Rhinolophus ferrumequinum: one gene and its partner. Each later gene encodes a partner of the first gene's protein in a complex. Links are inferred from orthologs where the notes say so. Each region holds a gene or a part of one and is shown on either strand. Other genes may lie near its edges. The genes, in order: VPS39 and VPS41.

Evidence for each region.
Region 2: VPS39 (region 1) and VPS41 share a complex: the UniProt entries of both Homo sapiens proteins name them as parts of the homotypic fusion and vacuole protein sorting (HOPS) complex. The link is inferred for Rhinolophus ferrumequinum from reciprocal best matches to the Homo sapiens genes VPS39 and VPS41.

The regions. Positions count from the first base shown.
Region 1 is NC_046289.1:63,239,184-63,249,276, forward strand, and holds the start of VPS39 (vam6/Vps39-like protein), read left to right. Parts: upstream 1-5,904; 5' UTR 5,905-6,066; coding exon 6,067-6,139; intron 6,140-10,093. Other genes in the region: TMEM87A (transmembrane protein 87A), read left to right, coding at 598-659, 1,187-1,242, 1,796-1,826, 3,048-3,089. UniProt on the Homo sapiens protein: Regulator of TGF-beta/activin signaling, inhibiting SMAD3- and activating SMAD2-dependent transcription.
Region 2 is NC_046303.1:52,663,356-52,672,601, reverse strand, and holds the start of VPS41 (vacuolar protein sorting-associated protein 41 homolog), read left to right. Parts: upstream 1-5,588; 5' UTR 5,589-5,627; coding exon 5,628-5,648; intron 5,649-9,246. UniProt on the Homo sapiens protein: Plays a role in vesicle-mediated protein trafficking to lysosomal compartments including the endocytic membrane transport and autophagic pathways. Acts as a component of the HOPS endosomal tethering complex.

The DNA of each region.
Region 1 (10,093 bases):
TCCTCCAAAACCTAAATACTAATAGCCTACTGTTGACTGGAAGGAAGCCTTACGAAAACAGTTGATTAAGATGTATTTTGTGTATTATATGTATTATATGCTGTATTACAATTAAGCTATAGAAAAGACAGTATTATTTTAAAAATCATGAAGGAGAGAAAATATATTTACTGTGTTTATTGAAAAAAATCCACATATAAGTGGACATGCACAGTTCAAACACTTGTTCCAGGGTCAACTGTATAACATTTTGAATATCAAAATCAAGATACTTCGATATAAATACATTGTTTATTATTTTATAACTGTCCTTCCTCAGTTTGGTATGTGGTAAAGTTAGGGAGAAGCAAAAATAAAGGTATGAATCTTAAGATGACACTATAGTAAATTCAGTAAATGCACATTGAATGTCCATTTTGCTTACTAGAAATGAACTAAAAATTTGGCTTTGATCTTCCCAGCATAAATACAAAGATGGAGAAACAACTGTTGTATAATTCAATGTCAGTAAGCTTAAAATAAATCTGTAAATCCATTTTTGCAATCATTGCTGGTCTATTGACATAGTTAACCAATCTCTTTTTTTTCCTTCTTCAGAAGGAATGAAAATGAGAAGTACTAAACAAGAACCAAATGGAAATACTAAAGTAAACAAAGCAGTAAGTATGACTTCTTTTCTTTCCTGTTTGCTCTGTCTTCCTGCTTAGCAGTAATGTACAGGCCTTAATGATTTTCTTTTCCTATGCTATAATTAAGCCTACTTTTATGAATCCTTTAATATATATTGCATTTACATTTTAAAAACAGACAGCAAGTGATTCTGTTTAGGACCTATCAATCTTTAACTGATGGTTTGGCACTATGTCATTAAAAGATACCAGACTAGTCTGATGGTTCTGTTTAATGATTTTCGTCAGTGAAGTCATAGCCTCATTGATAACCTAAGGTCTTTTTGGTAGTAAAGATCGAGATTTTTTTAGTCAGCAGATTTTTTTTTTTTTTTAGAATTGTGGATTCATTCTACATTTTAATTATTTGATTTTTCTGTTAGCAGTCCCATTTATTATGTGACTATACTATTTCAGAGTGACAAAAGATTAAATTTAAAATTTTTGAGACCTTTAAATTTTTGCTTGAAATATTATTTTATTCATTTTAGTAACAATTGGTACTTGTGTGTTTCTAGCAGGAAGATGATTTGAAGTGGGTAGAAGAGAATGTTCCTTCTTCTGTGACAGATGTGTAAGTCTGAATCATTACAAAAATCTTATTTCAAAGTTAGTATTACCTTTATTATTTTAATGAATGAGCTGAAGAATATACTAAGAGAATAGAATGCTTGTAAACTTTAGAAATGTAAGATTAAATTACTTAAAAGAATAATTAAAAGTGTTAAAAAGATGTTAAACAATGAAAGATTAGGAATGATATACAAAGAAAAGTAATCAAGATTATTCGATGACATTTCTGCTTAGAAAAATTTAGCTATAGATCTTCAAAATCAATAGGATAATTCTTTTGGAATTTTTGAGTTCCTTTCTATGGCTGTCATTTTATTAAACATTGGTCCTATTACAATGCAGAACATGTTTTGTTTTTTCTATACAATTCCAGGAACTTTGCTTCTTTCTTTTGTATTTGCTTTCCCCCTCCACCTGAAAGAGCCATTAATGAGATGCAAATCTTAGATAATTATACAAAAAAGCTTTAAATTGAAATCATTATTCCACTGTCCTTTATGAACCACTTACGGCTTTATTTTATATTATTCAATTTGGTGTTTTTCTCTCTGTAGAGCACTTCCAGCCCTTCTGGATTCAGATGAGGTTAGTAATCAAATCATGTGCATAAACTGTGGGTCTGATGACTTAATAGGGAGTCTATAAGTCCTCTCTTCAGGGAGATTTTATTTATTTGATTCAGTAAGAGTATCACTGAAAAAGGATGAGAATAGACATTTATTAGAACTCAGATATTCACGAATGTTTTCTTTACATGTCCCCCTTTTCCAAAGTTATGTGGTCAGATTTGAGAATGTCTTTGTTTAAATTAGATAGTAAATACCATACTGTCCTGCTTTCTGATTTCTTCGTCTTAAGATATTCAGATTTAACCTTTATCTAATCTAAGCAAAAATAATGAAGAAAAGTATTGAGAAAGGAGTATAGTAGACCAAAGCAAGATATTTAAGTTACTACCATTCAATGTTACTAATGTCACTATCCTCTTCAGATATTAAGGATTAAAGTTAGTACCGCTAATTTTTATGTTGATTTTTAATTCTTTAATATGCCTCTACACAGTTCATCTGGAAAGCTTCACAATAAAGTCTTGGGAACTAGTTCTGGATAGGTTCTGAATATAAGGTTATTCTAGAGTCTCTTATTTCAGAAAGCGTTTGGAACGCCTCACAAAATGTGGTAAAAAGCACATAAAATGACCATCCTAATGATTCTCAAGTGCAAAGTGTTAACTATATGTACATTGTTATGTAACAGATCTCTAGAACTTTTTCATCAATGTAATTTTAATCAGTATATAACATTTCACTATATAATATCCACTATATGGATATATATCATACTGTGTTTACACAATCCCATATTTTTGGACACTTAAGTCTTTCTAATATTTTGTTGAAATTCTGAGTGTTACCATAGAAATGCTTGTGGCTAACTCTTTGCCCACATACTTGACTATTTCTTCAAGTTAAATTTCTGAATCAAATACACATTTTCATCAAAGTTTAATCTTAAGTAAACATTTGTTTAATTATCTTAATTGTCTCTAAAACATACAATTCATTTTGATTTGTGGTTTGATGTCTGAAAGCCTAGAGATTTTGATTCAGTTGAATTTTGTGTGGGGCCTGGATATCCCTCTTTTAAAATTTTCTTGGATGGTTAGGAATCATTGGTCTAAATATTTAATGAACTTAAACAAGTACTTGTGGAAAATGTATGTGTGCATGATCTATGTAGAAGGTATTTGGAATGTAGACCATTTAAAATTAAGGTACTTAGAATAAACCTTTTTTTTTCCCCTAGGAACGAATGATCACACACTTTGAAAGGTCCAAAATGGAGTAAAGAATGGGAGGCTGTGCAGTTGAAGATGGCTACTGTCTGGGAAGAGATCAGCTTCTGTGTCAGTCTTCTACACTGCTCCATGGGATTAAAGGAGGAAATGACATCTGATCTGTTCTTTGATCTTTGTGCATGGGAGCTGGCGAGAGGTGTCAGAACAAGGAGAACATGTTACTGAAAACAAGTTCATGGGATGAGAAAAATCTACAAGTTTCTTAATTTACAACATTGATGCCCTTTTCCCTCCCACACCCTGACATGGACGTTTATGCAACTTCTGTGTGTTGTTCCTGAACCTTCTATAATGTTTAAATTGTTTAATCTGTCAAACTAAAAAGTTTAACATCTTCTAAAGAACTGCGGCATCAACACTATAATATGTAACCTCCAGGAGCAACTGCCTGTGATTTTTATTTATTTAGGGAGTTACATAGGTGATTGGGGAAATTGCTAATGTTCTTTCCATTTCCTGGGAAGCCAAGGTTACATCTTGCAGAGATAGTTTTGAGGGGAAAAAAAAAAAGAAAAAAGAGTCTTTCTGACTTAAAGAGCCATGGTTCTAGCAATGATTAAAAGAAAGAAAAAAAAAAGGGAGAGAAAGAAACTGTTACAATGTAATTCAGATCATTTAAAAAAGCAAAATCAAGTGCAATTTTGTTTACAAATGGTGTATATTAAAGATTTTTCTATTTCAGATGTACTTGAGAGAGAAATATTAGCTTAACTCTTTTGACATCTGCTATTGTGACAGATCCCATTGCTGGCAATGTGGTGCACACTCCAGAACTTGTAACTACTGTTTTGTAAGCCTCCAAGGCAGCATTGAGTCCTAGGCAGTGCTTTGTTTGCCTTCATGCCATTCACTGGGTGTTGCACTAGGTGCACAGAGGCACTCTAAGTGCTGGTGAGTGAGCGCCCTGCTAAGAACTATAATTCTTCAGAAGCAGGAGCTAATACAAAGGAAACAGGTCCTTCTGGCTTAAACAGTTTTTTTGCATGACGTAGTGTGGAGGCCCTGGACTGCTGCTCATTCTGTAGGATTGACTGTTCTTGTATCTGGTGTTGGTTTAGAGACTGTTTATAAGAGACATCACAAGGTGATGGGATTCATTTGAAGCACTATATTTCTGTTTTAATGGTTTTGTCCACTTTTCCCTTCCCAAGAGTTTTGTTCTACATAGAAAGTTCATGCCATTTTTTAATATAAAAATTTTAACAAAATTAATGTGTTTCTCTTTTTTTTTTTCAAACTTTCTTTAAAGACCCTTCTTTCTCCCATGGGAGATTTTCCTTCTATGGTTTTTATTCTGTATCATCTGTTGAAACCAATGGCCCACATGACTGCAATCTTCATTAACTCATACTAATGTGAAAGTGTTTACATTGATGTAACATTTTTCTTTAGCTGTTTGCTGTCGTGATTTTAAAAAAAAAAATCACCTAAGGAACCTTATTAGGAATTAACTATATTCTCAGATTAACCTTTTGCTAAAGGCTGATATAACTGTTGTATGCTTGTGTTCTTCTATACTAAAACTTAGCAAATGAATGATCTTCATAATGCTGCAGGATAGCTGGTTAAATAGTTTTTGAGGCTGGTTAGATGTTGGCTTGGGACTAGGAGAAAAAAAACCTGTGTTAAGCAGGAGTATGTAGGACAAATTCTGTAGCCTGGGACCTGATAATTCTTTCTGTTATTTCTTAATGTTACTATGAATGTATATACTGTACCATTTTTTTCTGAATAGGTTCAGAAGGCATTTATAGTATTACATTTATTTTAGTCTTGGTCCTTGGGCCTGGAACTACCAGGTATTAGACCTTCTTCCAGCATAGCAACTAATTCTAAAATTTCAAGGTGTTCAGTTTCTATGGTAAAAATCAAACAGCACAAGATTTGTTTAGCAATTTCTGTGGTTTTTACTTCTTGAAAATATTTGATTTAAAGATGGGACAATATTTCTCATTTACAGATGAAGAAACAGACATTGTATAAAAATAGTAACCAGGGCCAGTTTTTTTACTTCATATCATAAATTCACCTCTTTTTTCTTTTATATTTTTGCTTTAAACCAAAATGCTTACTTTTATGACATACCTGTTTGTTTGTTTTTGATGCTTTTTTTGGGGGCTGGGGAGGGCGGAATTGCCAGATACAAATCATCCTTGCTTGTGGTTCTCTAAAGTTCATGGACTCACCTGGGGGACTTATTAAAACAGACTGCTGGACACCTCCCATCCTGCCCCTACCCCCTGCAGTTTCTGATTCAGTAGGCCTAGAAAGAGGCCTGAGACTTTCTCTGTATTTCTAACAAGTTCCCAGGATGATGCTGATGCTGCTGGTCTAGGGACCCCCTTTTGAGAACCACTGGCCTGGAACCTTTAAAATGCAAGGGTAAAGCTGGGATGATAATGGTAGTACTAAAACTACCACTTCTTGAGTGCTCAGTGTGTCAGGCATTGCTAAGCTCTCACAACGCTAGCTAAGTAGACAACACTGCCACTTTGCAGACGAGGAAATTTAAAAGTCCTCTGAAGATTAAATTGTTTAAACGTCACAGCGAATTTCCTAAATGGCAGATCTCCATCACAGGTCTGACGCCAAAGCCTGAATTCTTTCACCACGCCACACTGCCTAAAACAGTTCTAAGATAAAGATATTTTCCTCTCCGTGTTAATCCAATGGCTGCTCGGACTCCCCTACGGAGAGACTCGGAGTCTAGGGTGAAATGGAGACCCCAAGCATTGGTGCATTCCTTGAAGGTGCGTGGGGAGCAGTGGCGGAAGGGGCGGGACTTCGGCGGCGGAAGGGGTGGGCTTAGACAGCAGGAAGTTCGGCGTTGATGGCTCTGTTGTTGAAGGGCCTGTAGTTGGGGTCCTTGGCCGGATTCTGGGCGGCCGTCTTCTTAGCCTGGTTCTGGCCACGAGCCCGGCCGGGTACACTCAGGGTGAGACTGTCGAGGCGACGCTGCTCGTCGCCATGCATGACGCCTTCGAGCCGGTGCCGATCTTAGAAAAGCTACCTCTGCAGATCGACTGTCTGGCTGCCTGGGGTGAGCCGAAAGACCAAGGGGCTGAGGCGGGGGAAGGGGACGGCGTTTGGCTGGATGGGCTTCTGTTGGACGCTGTCGAAGAGTGCCCTGAGATGAAGGAGTGCAAAGCATTGTAGACAGCGAGGGCGGTGGGGCCGTTTTGGCGCTACCTCGGGACCCAGGCATTTTAGGGACGTTCCACCTGCCCTTGTTCTTGGTGCAGAGTTGGAAGTTGAGTTTTCCTTCTTAATTGTACTTAGCTTTGGCTCATTTCGATTTCCAAGAAGTCTTTAGTGTGGAGGCACAAGCAGTGGAAAGTATACAGCTTATCAGGGACTTGAACTTACCCAGATGATTGTGTTGCACTGATTTTGGGGGGAGTGGGTGATGGGGGGGGGTTGAACTAGTTGATGCCATATGCCTTTTACCCCCTTAGTGATGAATCATTAATCGTTCACTTCTCGTTATTGTAGGTAACTCACGTTGTTACTCTAAACTCTTAAGCTAGCCCAGTGGTGGATTGCCTTATATTCAAAGTGCCCAGCTTACCTAAGTGTAGGTCAGGAGCGTCACTCCAGGCTGTCATGAAATCGAACCCATAAAAACTTGCATAATCCTCTCGGGAGTGGCCAGTGCAGAAAGCAGGGTCAGGCCCCTTTTATTTCTAGTACACTCCAGAATACAAAAGGGTTCAGGGGTCTAAACTTTGACTCTTAACTATGAACATTATGCTCCTATCGATGAGTAATTGTGCCTAACAGCCACCAAAGACCACACAAATAATTTCAGTATTTCCTGATAATGTCCAGGTACTAGAAATCAAGGGCCTTAAAAAGGTGGCTCAGGACCCTTCATCAGATCTCATACTGAGCTAAGGACTGGTGATGGACCTAGTGGAATCTCCGTGGTGGCTGGCATGTTGTGCAGCAGCTGTGGACAGTGCCACCGTCAGCCTTGCAGAGTTCTTCAGGGCCTCTTCTTTAGGGCGCTTCCACGACAGGTCTTCATGTTAATGTGCCCCCCTTCTGCCTTTATCAGCCTTGGGCCTCTTTGGAAATCACACCTCCACAGTAAACTGTCCTAGTCCTTTGGGTTAAGGAGAGAATCCTGCTTCCTCCAGGTTGCTCAAGAAAGCCTCCATTTTCTGTCATTAAATGCTCTCAGTAAGAATTAAAAAGAAAGGAGAATTTTTTTTTTTTAAATGAAAGACCTGACACCACACAGAGGGACTGAATTCCCCTATTTCTTCATCAAATATGTGTTAGGTCTGCATGGACTAGTCTCTCTGCTAGGGACAGGAATACAAGGATGAAAAAAACACAGTGCCTGTGCTTCTAGGACACACGGGGGGAAAAAGACATAAAGCAATTATGATACAAAATAAATGATACTAGGGTTATATGCTGCCTATTGGGAAACTTGGAGGAGGGGTACCGAACTCTGCCTAGGACATAGGCTTCTGAAAAGGATGGGTGCAGCTGCTTACCACACTGCGTAGCTTGTCACATGCCTGACTCAGACCCTGTGGGATTAGCAGTACACCTGTCTTCAGCCTCTCTCACCAACTCCACGTTGTTACAGTAGAGTCCTATGTCTGTGCTTTTCAGGAAGACAGTTTTGAAATGGTAGGTAGCCTTTGGCCTGCCTTGATCTCACTAAACAAATGCCCATTGCTCCCTAGGATGCTGTGGTAAGTATTGGGCTGCAAGAGGCCATTTATCACCTCCTGCCTCAAAACTACTTTATTGTTAGACTTTAGCAGCATTAAATAGTGCTCTTTCTAGTCGTTACTCCTTTTACCTGTAGTTCATCCAGGAAGCTCCAGGAGCCAGATCATGCAGGGCCAGACAATATATGAGCTGGAAAATGCCTTGAGACACCATAATCTGTCTCCTGGGAAATGGAAATGAGGATACTAATGATGATGACTTCTCCCTAAACTCCAGTGTTGTAGAATGCAGCTGCCTTTTCAGCGTCTTCATTTGGATGTCTAGTAGCATGGCCAGAACAGTTCTTGACGATTACACTCTCCCCAAACATATCCCACGTCTGTCCCTCCGTATCCCACGTCTCAGCAAACAGCATTTCTATTTACCCACTGGCTAAGGCCGAAAATCTTGGAATCATTCTGGACTTCTCTTTTTGTCTTATACATCACATCCAATCCATCAGCAAATCTTGTCTGCATCACCTCCAGAATAAATCTAGAATCCAATCATGTCGTTCTATCTCCACTTTTTCTACTCTTGATGAAGCCACTATTCTCTCTTATCTGAATTACTGAAGATTTTATTGGGGAAGGGGAACAGGACTTTATTAGGGAACAGTGTGTACTTCCAGGCCTGTTTTCCAAGTCAAGTTGTTGTCCTTTCAATCTTAGTTGTGGAGGGTGCCGTTCAGCTTCATGTTGTCCTTTCAGTCTTAGTTGTGTCGGGCGCAGCTCAGCTCCAGGTCCAGTCGCCGTTGCTAGTTGCAGGGGGCACAGCCCACCATCCCTTGCGGGAGTTGAACCATCAACCTTGTGGTTGAGAGGACGCGCTCCAACCAACTGAGCCATCCAGGAGGCAGCTCAGCTCAAGGTGTCGTGTTCAATCTTAGTTGCAGGGGGCGGAGCCCACCATCCCTTGAGGGAGTTGAGGAATCGAACTGGCAGCCTTGTGGTTGAGAGCCCACTGGCCAATGTGGGAATCGAACCGGCAGCCTTCGGAGTTAGGAGCATGGAGCTGAGCCACCAGGCCAGCCCTCCACGTAGTGTTTTATCCACGTAGAAGTAGAGCGATCCTTTGAAAACTTAATCTAATCACATTTCTTCTCTGCTCAGAACCCTTCAGTAGCTTCCCATCATTACTAGAATATGTTCCAAAGTCCTTACCATGGCTGGCTAAACCTAACATGATCGGACCTCTGGTTACTTCCCTGACTTCATCTCCTATGCTCTTACCCCTTGTGCCTTTCTGGTACTAGTCATATGGTCTTCTTTGTTCCATGAACACACAAAGCACATACTGACCTCAGGGCCTTTGCACTTGCTGTTTACTCTGCCTGGCACTCTCTTGCACTAGATATTTCATGGCTCATTCTTCATTTCATTCAGGTCTCTGCTGAAATGTCACATAAATCAGCAAGACCTTCCCTGGTTACCTGTATTAAAGAGAATGCCACATCCACCAAATGTGCTATTCTCTTACTCAAACCTTATCTTTCTTCTTAACATGCATTGCCACCTAATGCTATTTTACATATTATTATTGTCTCCCTCACTCTATATTAGAATATAAATTCCTTCAGAGCAGGGACTTTGTTTTCTATATTCTTTATTTGCAGTGCCTAGTACAGTTCCTGACTCATAATAGGTATTCATTAAATATTTGTTTAACTAATAATAATATTAATAGTGATAGTTTCCATTTATTGAGTACTAATCACATTGAGCTTTTATAGAATAATAACTCCATTTTGCAGAGAAAGAACCTGAGAATTTAAATAAATTTTTCAAGGTCTCATATCCAGTAAATCATGTTTGATTCTAGAGCCTGGTTCCCAAACTTTAATGTATATTCAGAGCCTGTAAAAAAAATGCAAATGTGTGTGTGTGTGTGTGTGTGTGTGTGTATCTATGTGTGTATACACAATTATATTTGCTTATAGCATCCAAAGAAACAATGGAAAGATAAATCAAAAATTACCAAAATGGTTATCTATAGCGGAAGGGAGAGAGCAGGGTCTCACAGTTTTAGACTTCTCACAGTTTTAGCTTTGGAACTACATAAATGTCTCCTATAAAGAAAAATTTTAATTAAAAAATGCAAATTTCAGGCCACCACCTCAGCATCCTTGAGTCAGACAGTCTCTGGGAGCGGGGCTCGGGAATGTGCCTTTTTAATAAGTCCCAGTGATTCTGCTGTGGCTCATCAGGGACTTATGCTTTGAGAAACACTGGTCTTTGCCCTATGACCCAAAGAAGGGACGTGACCC
Region 2 (9,246 bases), on another chromosome or scaffold:
CCGTCTTTGACCCCTCGCACAACTGCTAACGTAAACTTCTCAGTCATCACCGTCATTATGTCATTAACTGCTCTCTCTAAACCTTCAGTTTCTCCTTATTTTCTTGGCAGGGCATAAAGAAAGTCTCATGGGAAAACATCATGATATGGTAATACCTTAAATTAATTAGCTAATTAGTTAATTGACTCAGTCAACAAGTAATAATGGAGGCACTGTGCTGGGTTCCTGGCACGTGTTTATTTAAAAATAAGGAGCTATGAAAGCAAATGTGGTAGCTTCTTTCTGATACTTTTGTTAGGATTTATTTATTATTTTTAATATATATTTTTTGTATTAGTGCTTGTCTGTAGATATGCAATAGCAAAATCAAAGATTCCAAGAAAACATGTAAGTGTGACCTGGTTTGAATCAAGGGATTTTACTGCTAAAATTAAATAGTTGCAGCATTGTCCCAATTCACAGGAAGAATTAATGGGGAAAATATTCCATTTAGGACTGTTCTCTTACATGTTTTCTTGGAATCAGTGACTAGAAAACCACATCCGTGAGTCTAAACTCCATCCTCTTCCATGTTCCTTCAAGTGTATACATTCCAAAAGATTATACTTTAGGTTGCATTTTCCCTTTATTGGTTAGTCCCTCTGTGTTTCAAATATCAATTGCATGCTGAAGATCTCAGAATGTTTATCTCCAGTGCCAGACTTCTTTTAGCTTCAAAACTAAATAACCAGCTGTCTGCTGGACATTCTTTTTCAAGTCAATAAGGAAAAGATCAATTTCCCAACAGAAAATGAGTAAAGAGCAAGAATAGAAATGCAGAAAATAATTGAAAATGGTGAGCAAATTTATGAAAAATATCAATTTATCAAAATTCAAAGAAATACACATTACAACAAAAAGTAAAATACTATTTCCCATCAAAATTAATTGATGACGTTTTAAAGAAAATGATAATATCTAATGTTTGATGGTAGGAGAGTATAGAGATCTCATATATAACTCTTGGGAATATAAATTCTGAGAGATGGAATCTACAAACAGACAATGGCCAGACCATATATAAAAACCAAACTCTGACCAACAATCTGCAGCAAACTGCTCAGGAAACCAACCCTTTATCTACAATAACCAGCTGTGGAAGCCAGACTGCTATTCAGGCAGACTTGCAGGAAGCCAGACTGCTATGTCTAGTAACACTCCCGGAAGCTAAACAAAAACTTCTGTAACAATCAGCCCAAAGTGGCCAGTACTCGATTAATATAACAAAGAGCTTCCTTAATCTTTATCCCCACTTTCAACTTAGGACCAACCTGAAAAAGCTAAATACGGTGTCCCGTAACTAATCACACAGGACACCGCCCTCATAGTTAGCTTGTTACAGCTTCCCCATGTCAACAGCCTCCAATCCAGGCACACCTGAAACCTTCCCTTTTTTCCACTATAAAGCTTTCGCACTCCTGCCTGCCTTTGTGGCTGCCAAAACACAAGTGATGGTGGCTGACTTTTTTGCTAAAGCAGGTTTGGAATAAATAGCCTTGTATTTTTTCACTTGGTTGGTATTCATTTATTTCTACAATTGATACCACCTTTCATTAAAGCATCTGCCAAAATTATGTGCAAGGATATTAGATATACTCAAAGTATGAATCAAAAACAATGAATTATATAAATTATGGTATTTTCCTAGAATGAAATTTTAATGTGCACCATTAAATCACGATTTTGAACATTTTATAATGATATTGGGAAATGATCTTGAAATATAACTAAGTGAAGAAAGCAAATGACAAAACTTAATAATATGATTTTTGTTTTAAAAACTTCAAATAAACACAAAGAGAGGAGAGAGAGATAGAGGTAGAGGTAGAGATAGAGAGAAAAGAAATATATCCAACAATGATAATCTGAATGGAAAAATTATAAGTGGTTTTTGAATTTTACTTGTATTTTTCCAATTATCTGTCATGAATATGCATTACTTTTGTAATTAGAAAAATGGTCTTTAAAAAAATCTAGTGTGTTTGTACAGGGAAACTTCCAATAAGCTCTATGTTAAAATGATATCTAGAATATTAGAAGGTAACAGGTTTCAGTGGGTATAGGTTTTGGAAAACTAAACAGCAAAATAAGCTGAGTATTTCCAAAATTCCTAAAAATAACAAGTATTATTCTGGCTACTTGGGAGAGACAATTAAGGAAAGGCTAAAACCATTGCTTGGAGTCAGTAGTGTAATGTGGTGTAGCTGTGCTTGTCACTGGCTATCGAGAAAGATCGTTAGACTGGAAAAGGTAGCAATCTAAGAAGGAATGGAAGCTAAAGATTAGGAAAAGAATCTATAAATTACCACTTAATTATAAGTGATGTAGGGACAACTTTTTTTTTTACCTCACCTTTCCACTTTGCTGATTTTTTAAATTTAATAAATTTAGAAATACTGTCCTATAATGGAAAATATTGAAGCCATTCATATTGTTTAAACAATGAAGTAGGTTGTTATTAATAAAATTACAATTTATTGAATTAGTAAACTACTTCAGATCTATATAACAAATTAATGAGACAAATCCTTAAAAACCAGTGAAACTATAATGTTTTAGGTCTGGTTTGAAGTCTATTCCCAGTATTAGGTCCTAATGACTGCAAATGAGAAGTTGATTCTCACCTCTACCTCCATAGCTTGAAAGTGGGAGAGGTGAACTGATGATGCACAAGAAAGAAACAGGTGATTTGCCAGAGAATGAAAGATTCTTAGGCCTAACACTTCTCCTTCAACGTAAATATACCAAGGGATATAATTAAAACCCAGATTCTGGCTCAGTGGGTCTCTGGAGGGGCCCTGAACTCCTCATTTCTAATAAGCTCCCAAGTGAGATTGAGGTTGCTGGTCTGTGGACCACAGTCTGAGTAGCAGGAGCTAGACGACCTTCTAGAAAAGGGAACCCCAAACTTTCACGACAAAACATGGGGCTTGGAGGTCACATGTGAATTTCATCTTGCCCATGGGCCCAGGGTGAACCTTCTTGCCTCTAGGGGTTTCTTCCTCTAATTCATCTTTCCATATATGTGTTTCTTCATCTTTCTAGTCTGTCCAAAAGGAAATAGTAATAGATCCAAATGCTCATCATATTTTATTATAGTCAGAACACTGAATGGGGAACAGATTTGGGGGTATCCAGAGTCTTCGAGGTTGTGTGAGCAGGGGAGTACCTGCAGTGACCTTCGGCTAAATCTTCAGTCAGGCCCACTAGACGTTTATTTATGGGTAGGTCTATCTCAAAATGGAAAAAGGGAAAATTACAGTTTGTGAAGAAAGTTAGAAAAGTAGAAGGTTTAAGCTTATTTCTTTTTCCTCTGGAGACTTGACTGGGGGTTTCCAGAGCCTGTTTGGTCTATATAAGAGTCTTTGTGGGACTTGGAACCCATCATGAGCAATATTTGGTCCTGGGCTGCTTTGCAAGAGAGCTTAATGTATTAGGTGCTTGGCTATGGATATCTAAATGCCTTGGGGTTGGTCTATCTGTTCATTCCCTTGTGATCAAGTGATCAGCAGACTGGAAGAGGGACCCCCACAAGGGTTGGAGGAAGAGGATAGAAATGAGGCCGTTTAGGCCCTGGGGAGAAGACAAATATCTCAGATAAGGTCATCCTCGTCATGAGAATCATGGGTTGATCAGTGTGGGGACAGAGCCCCAGAGAGCAGTGTCCAGGCTCTCGGCCCCATGTGGAAAGGTGCTGGCTCAGGTAGTAGATGGCCATCAGCTGTGGCTGGTTGGCCGTCAGCTGTAACCATTGAGCCATTGGCCACTAATATAACTGCCGCGGCTACGGAGGGAAGTCGAGGAGAGAGGAGGAGATTGAAGGAGAGTGGAGGAGAGTCGGTCGGTTGGCAGCAAAGCGGACAGCAGGTCGCATGTCGTGTAAACCCAGCGAGACCATAGTGGTATGACTTCCCTACCTATGGCTCCGTGGGTGTTCCTTTTTGGCCTAGCCATATCCTGCGTTCTTGTGTGGGGAGTGGGACCAGAGACCCCTCATGCCACCCTGCATGACAATCAGGCTACAGCTAGAGACCTGGAAAGCACAGAGTGCTGAGACCATGACTTCCAACTAGGTGTGAGTCAATTAGCTCAGCGAGTCAAAAAGGGCACTGGGCACATACCACATGCTGCCATTTGTGATGCCCTCTGCTAGTTACCAGTTACTGGACATGCGTGGAAAGAAGAAAATGCCTGTCTTTGGACAAGATACTGCAAATTCCTGAGGATTAGGAAGGAGAGTTCAAAGTGCACAGAAAATGGAGATGAAATCATTCATGCGCAAGGATGGACGTAATACAGTGGTTTTGAGGCAGGATAGATAGCCTAGGGTATTGACCCTCTCTCCAGGACACTGAATGAGGCACATCCCTTCAAGGAAGTAAAACAGGAAACTGAACTGCACCTGACACCTGCGGTTAGAGATAAACAAGAATTAGTTTCATCTGGCAGGGACATTATCCATGACCCAAGCCTAACCTTTAGCTAATTTTAATGTCATTTACACTGTATTTGCCTCGACTCCCATCATACACCTGACGTCATGACAGTTCCAGAGGAACCAAATAAGGACAAAAAGGAGGAAAACGAAGATCCCATCCCTAGAGAGGAGACAGGATGATGTCCTTAAATTCCTGCCCCCTCAGGAAGATAAAAACCCTAATCAAGACCTTCTAGGGTGACTCGATTTCTGAGTTCACCTGCACTTCCCTCTCAACTGTTTACTTTTGCTTTGATAAACTCCCTGTGTTTTCCTGCATCTGTCTTGCTCCTGAATTATTTCCCATGTGAAGAAGAGAAGCTGGTTTTTGCTCCTAGTGGATCTGCTTCGGGACATACTGGGAACCTCCGGCATCAGTTTTACATATTTTAGCAAGGACAAATTTTTATTCTATATTGAATATTTACCTATAGAATATACTCAATAAAAGTTTAACCTATAATTTAATTAAACAACAGAGAATTGTTTACTATCAAATGTCCAGATGCCAGATGTCAACTTACGGTAACAAGAAGTAGGAGCTAAATAAATATTTTTGGAGTATAAATTGTTCTTTGGTCTTCCTTCGTGAAGACTGCTTTATATTCACTTAATATACATAAAAAACAAGGGCAAGAACATTTTTAGACTAAGCAGCATTTGGTAATTAAGTCTTTGGCATTAGATGAGACCAAATTTGAATCCTGTTGCTGTCTCTTACTTAGCTGTCTGACCTCTGAGGCACCATATTCTCCTCTATAAATGGGGATAATAGTGGGAATTGCTGGGAGGATTAAATGAGATAATTCATGTAAAGCTGTAAATCCAAGGTCTAATACACAGTATATATTAATAAAAACTATAACAATCACGGAAAAAATAAGACCATCAATAAAATAGAGCATTATTAGTGGTTATGTTCAGATTCTCCAAAGCATAACTTCATTGAGCTTGGAGAGCTGAAAGCAGAAACAAGGCCCAATAGCCTCACCAGCTAGAAAAGACATCCTGGCTCACATGCTGCTAAAACTACATTTCCCAGCAGGCGCGGGGCCCAGTTGTCCCGTTTTCTCTCATTTCCGGGTCTGTCACGTGATTCTCCGGCTGCACCATGGCGGAAGCAGAGGAACAGGTAAAGGCTGCAACTGCCGGGCATGGAAAGAGGAGACCAGGGTGAGGTGGTCGGGGGTCTGGAGTGGAGCGTGTGGAGGTGCGGAGCTGCTGGAGGCCGAGGCGGCCCACTGCGCGGTTGGCGGTCAGCGAAAGGCCATTTCGGGAGCAGAGAAACGGGCGGGATACCAGCTCTTGGAGGGCGCCGGGGAAAGCTCACCGACAAACTCCCGGCGTCTTGAGGCGGCCCGTTTTTTGGGGGGCGGGGGCTTTGGGGGGACTCTGTCCCTGTGGCCTGTGCTCGGTGAAATTTTGGCTTGAAGGCAGCCTGGGCTCCCAGGGACTGACTGCCCGTGGGAGATGTAAGAGATGACTTGAGCTCCAGGCCAGGTGACTGAAATATAAATTCCTTTCCACTCGAAGCAGAACAGGGAGAGCCGATTTGCAGGAGGGTTGGGAGAGAGTAGATGAGTTTTGTTTCGTATCTATTGCATTTAGGTGCAAAGCTAAGTCACCATGGCTGGTGTCTTTCTTAATATGTAACTTTCGGCTAGTTATTTTTTACTTTGTAATTTAACTTTAAAATACAAGGTGGAGATAATAACAATGTCGTCCTTCAAGGGTGGTGTAAGTTGGAATGAGTTAGTACACAAAGTTAAAGTGCTCAGTAAAAGTTGGGCATAGTAAAGGTTAGGAGGAAGTATTGTTTCTGGTAGGACATCAGATGGCAGTGTCATCTAATGTCCAGTCAGAACCTAGCCATGTGGCACTGGAGTTTAGGGTAGAATTTAGTGAGGGCGGTAGTTATTTTCATACAGGCAGTATGGGCAGGCAGACATTAGTTGAAATGACAAAGTAACATAAAAAAGACAAAAAGAGCAGAGGCCAGAACCTGGGGAAATACCTGTTTCCATCTCCAGGGTCATGTCAGCTCAGCACTGTTTTCCCTCACAGATTAACAGGCCATCAGTTTCCATAATTGCCTCTAAGAAGTGGTTTGATGATGAGCTGTTTAGTACTGTAAGAACAGAAGTTTACCTCGTCCATAATTTGTACCATTTGCAATATACTTCATTTACATAATGAAAATTTGCCCTGTGTACATTGATTTATGCCAATAATCGAGAAATTAGGTATAGATTTGGTTTGGGTGGTCATTGTGATAACTTAAGAGTCTCCTCCTTGCCACTGGAGCCTCCCTTTTCTGTTCCAAGCGGTTCGAAGGAAAAGGCTCATTAAGCACTCGTAACTTCATGACTCATTGCTGGTTTTCATATTTCATTTTGAAATGTAATTTTTTAGTGGTTTGATTTAAAAGCCAAAAACCAAACTCCTTATGTTCTTAGGTATAGAGTGGTAGAAATGGAGAGAATTGCCCTTAGGATTTACTGTTGTTTTGTGCAGAAGAGTTCGACAAAGCTGTCTGATGTAGAAAGACATGTAGAAAGTTAGCGATAAAATAAGAATGCTTTGAATTTTCACAGCACTTTTCAGTTTAAAGAACACTTTCACATTACATTTGTTCCTCACAAAAGAATTCTGTGTGGTGTTTATTCTGATGTATAAGTCAGGAAAAGCACTGTGTTCTAAACCTTCCAGTGGTGTCTTATTGCACTGAGGAAAAGCTTGAATCCTGGTAACGGCCTATTTGCCCTATAGGTCTTTGCCCCAGTTGCTCTACTATCCCTCTTCTCTGATCTCATTTTACACTAGTGTTCTTCCCTTTTGTCACTTTGCATCAGCTATACTGGCTTTCTTTCTGTTCCTTTAACAATGCTGGCATGTTTCTACCTAAGGACCTTTGCTCATGCTGCTCCCTTTTTTGACCCCAGATATCTACAGGGCTTCCTCCCTCGTTTTCTTCATATCTTTGTCCAAGTGTTACCTTTTTGAGTGAGAACTTCCCTGACCATTCTTTGAAATCTCTTTCCTGCATTATTTTTCTCCTTAGCAGTCATCGTCCTTTTTCCCCCTGTATGTTTCTGTATTCATTTCTGTATATTCTCCCCATTAGAATGTAAGATTCCTGATGGCAAGGATTTGTTCACTGCTGTATGCCTGACACTTAAGAGTCATGCTTGATGCTCAATAAGTGTAAAATGACTGAATATTAAAGATAAACATACTGAGATTCAGACAACTTAAATAACTTGCTCAGACTTGTTTGTATAACAAATCTCATCTTTTATCTTCAGAGCTTTTCCCTAGAACACCCTGCCTTTTAAAAAATATTTAAGAACCTAATTCTAAATTATGTTTTTTACTTTATGAAGTAGAATTAGCCCTTATCACCTTCATAAATTTCCTTCAAGTCATTATTTCATCTTTGATGTTTTAACCGCAACATATGGTTAGAGCAGACATTCACCCCTCCTTCCCACCTCCAGTGGTGTCATTGTCATTTTCAAAAAGACCAGTAGCCTATTGTCAATAGCAGGAAGGAACAAACATTCACAAATATTGTTTTGTTCTTTTTTAAAGAAAAGTAGTAAATAATTGTACCTATGTTATCAGTCCTTTATGGATTAAAAATGGTTAAACTTTTCTCTGCTTTATTTGTGTATTTTGCATTAAAATCTGACCAAGAACCTTTTAGAAAATCTTGACATAACTTTCCTCTCTCCCCTGAATGCTTTAAAAAGTGAGATGATTTTTAGAAGTAACTGTGATGACAGGTTAGGGAAAAGGAAGCTTTTTTCCGTTGGCACCTTGTACTATAAATGCAAACAAAACTAGAAGATGATGAGCAAGACTAAGCCTCTCCCGTTAACTTTTCTGAGCATTGTATTCTTTGATGATTGCTTTTTATCCCCCTTTAATTTTTGGAAGAATCAAAATAGATCTGTGTACTGAGTGAATTAACAAAATGTAAAACAGTTCATAGACTGTCAAACTAAAAATCACTTTATGGATATGAATGAACATTTTTAAAGAATTATCAGGAAACCTTTGTTTATGCTGAGTATAGTAAAGGTAGTTCACAAAAATAACTACACGAATGTTATATAGTTTACAGGAAGAACTAATACCCTGCCTTCTGCCTGGAAATCTTCTAAACAGCAGTTTTACCTTGCACCAAAATGATTTATAGTTGACCTTCATATACAGATGCCCAACAGTATTTGTCCATACCTCTCTTATGAATAACATTCTGCTTGAAGTCTGGATGTTTGTGTATTTGTCTTATCTCTTCTGCAGATTGCTGAGTCCTCAAGAAGAAGGACGAGAGCTTACTCATGTCTGTATTTCTCATAGAGCTAGTGCTTTACAGGTACTAGGTGCTTAGTAAAATGTTTAAATGAATTTATTAAGGATAGAATGACCTTCTGAATTGAAAATGTCAAATTGTAAGTGAGGTTTTAGTAGGATGTATGTTGTTATTTTTCTTGAAACTTTTGAAAATTATTAATTCAGATGTATTGTAGATTACATTCCCTACACGTCTTACTCTGCCAGCTCCCCAGGTACCCTTTCAAACAGTAGGGAGCCTTGTCCGAGCCTCGTCCTTTAAATATTTGCTCATTTAGACCATCTATTTCTTCACCGAATAGGAGAGTTTCTGTTTTGAAGTCTCCCTCTTTGCTTTAGAAATGAGAGAAATGCGTCCTTATCGTAGAGCA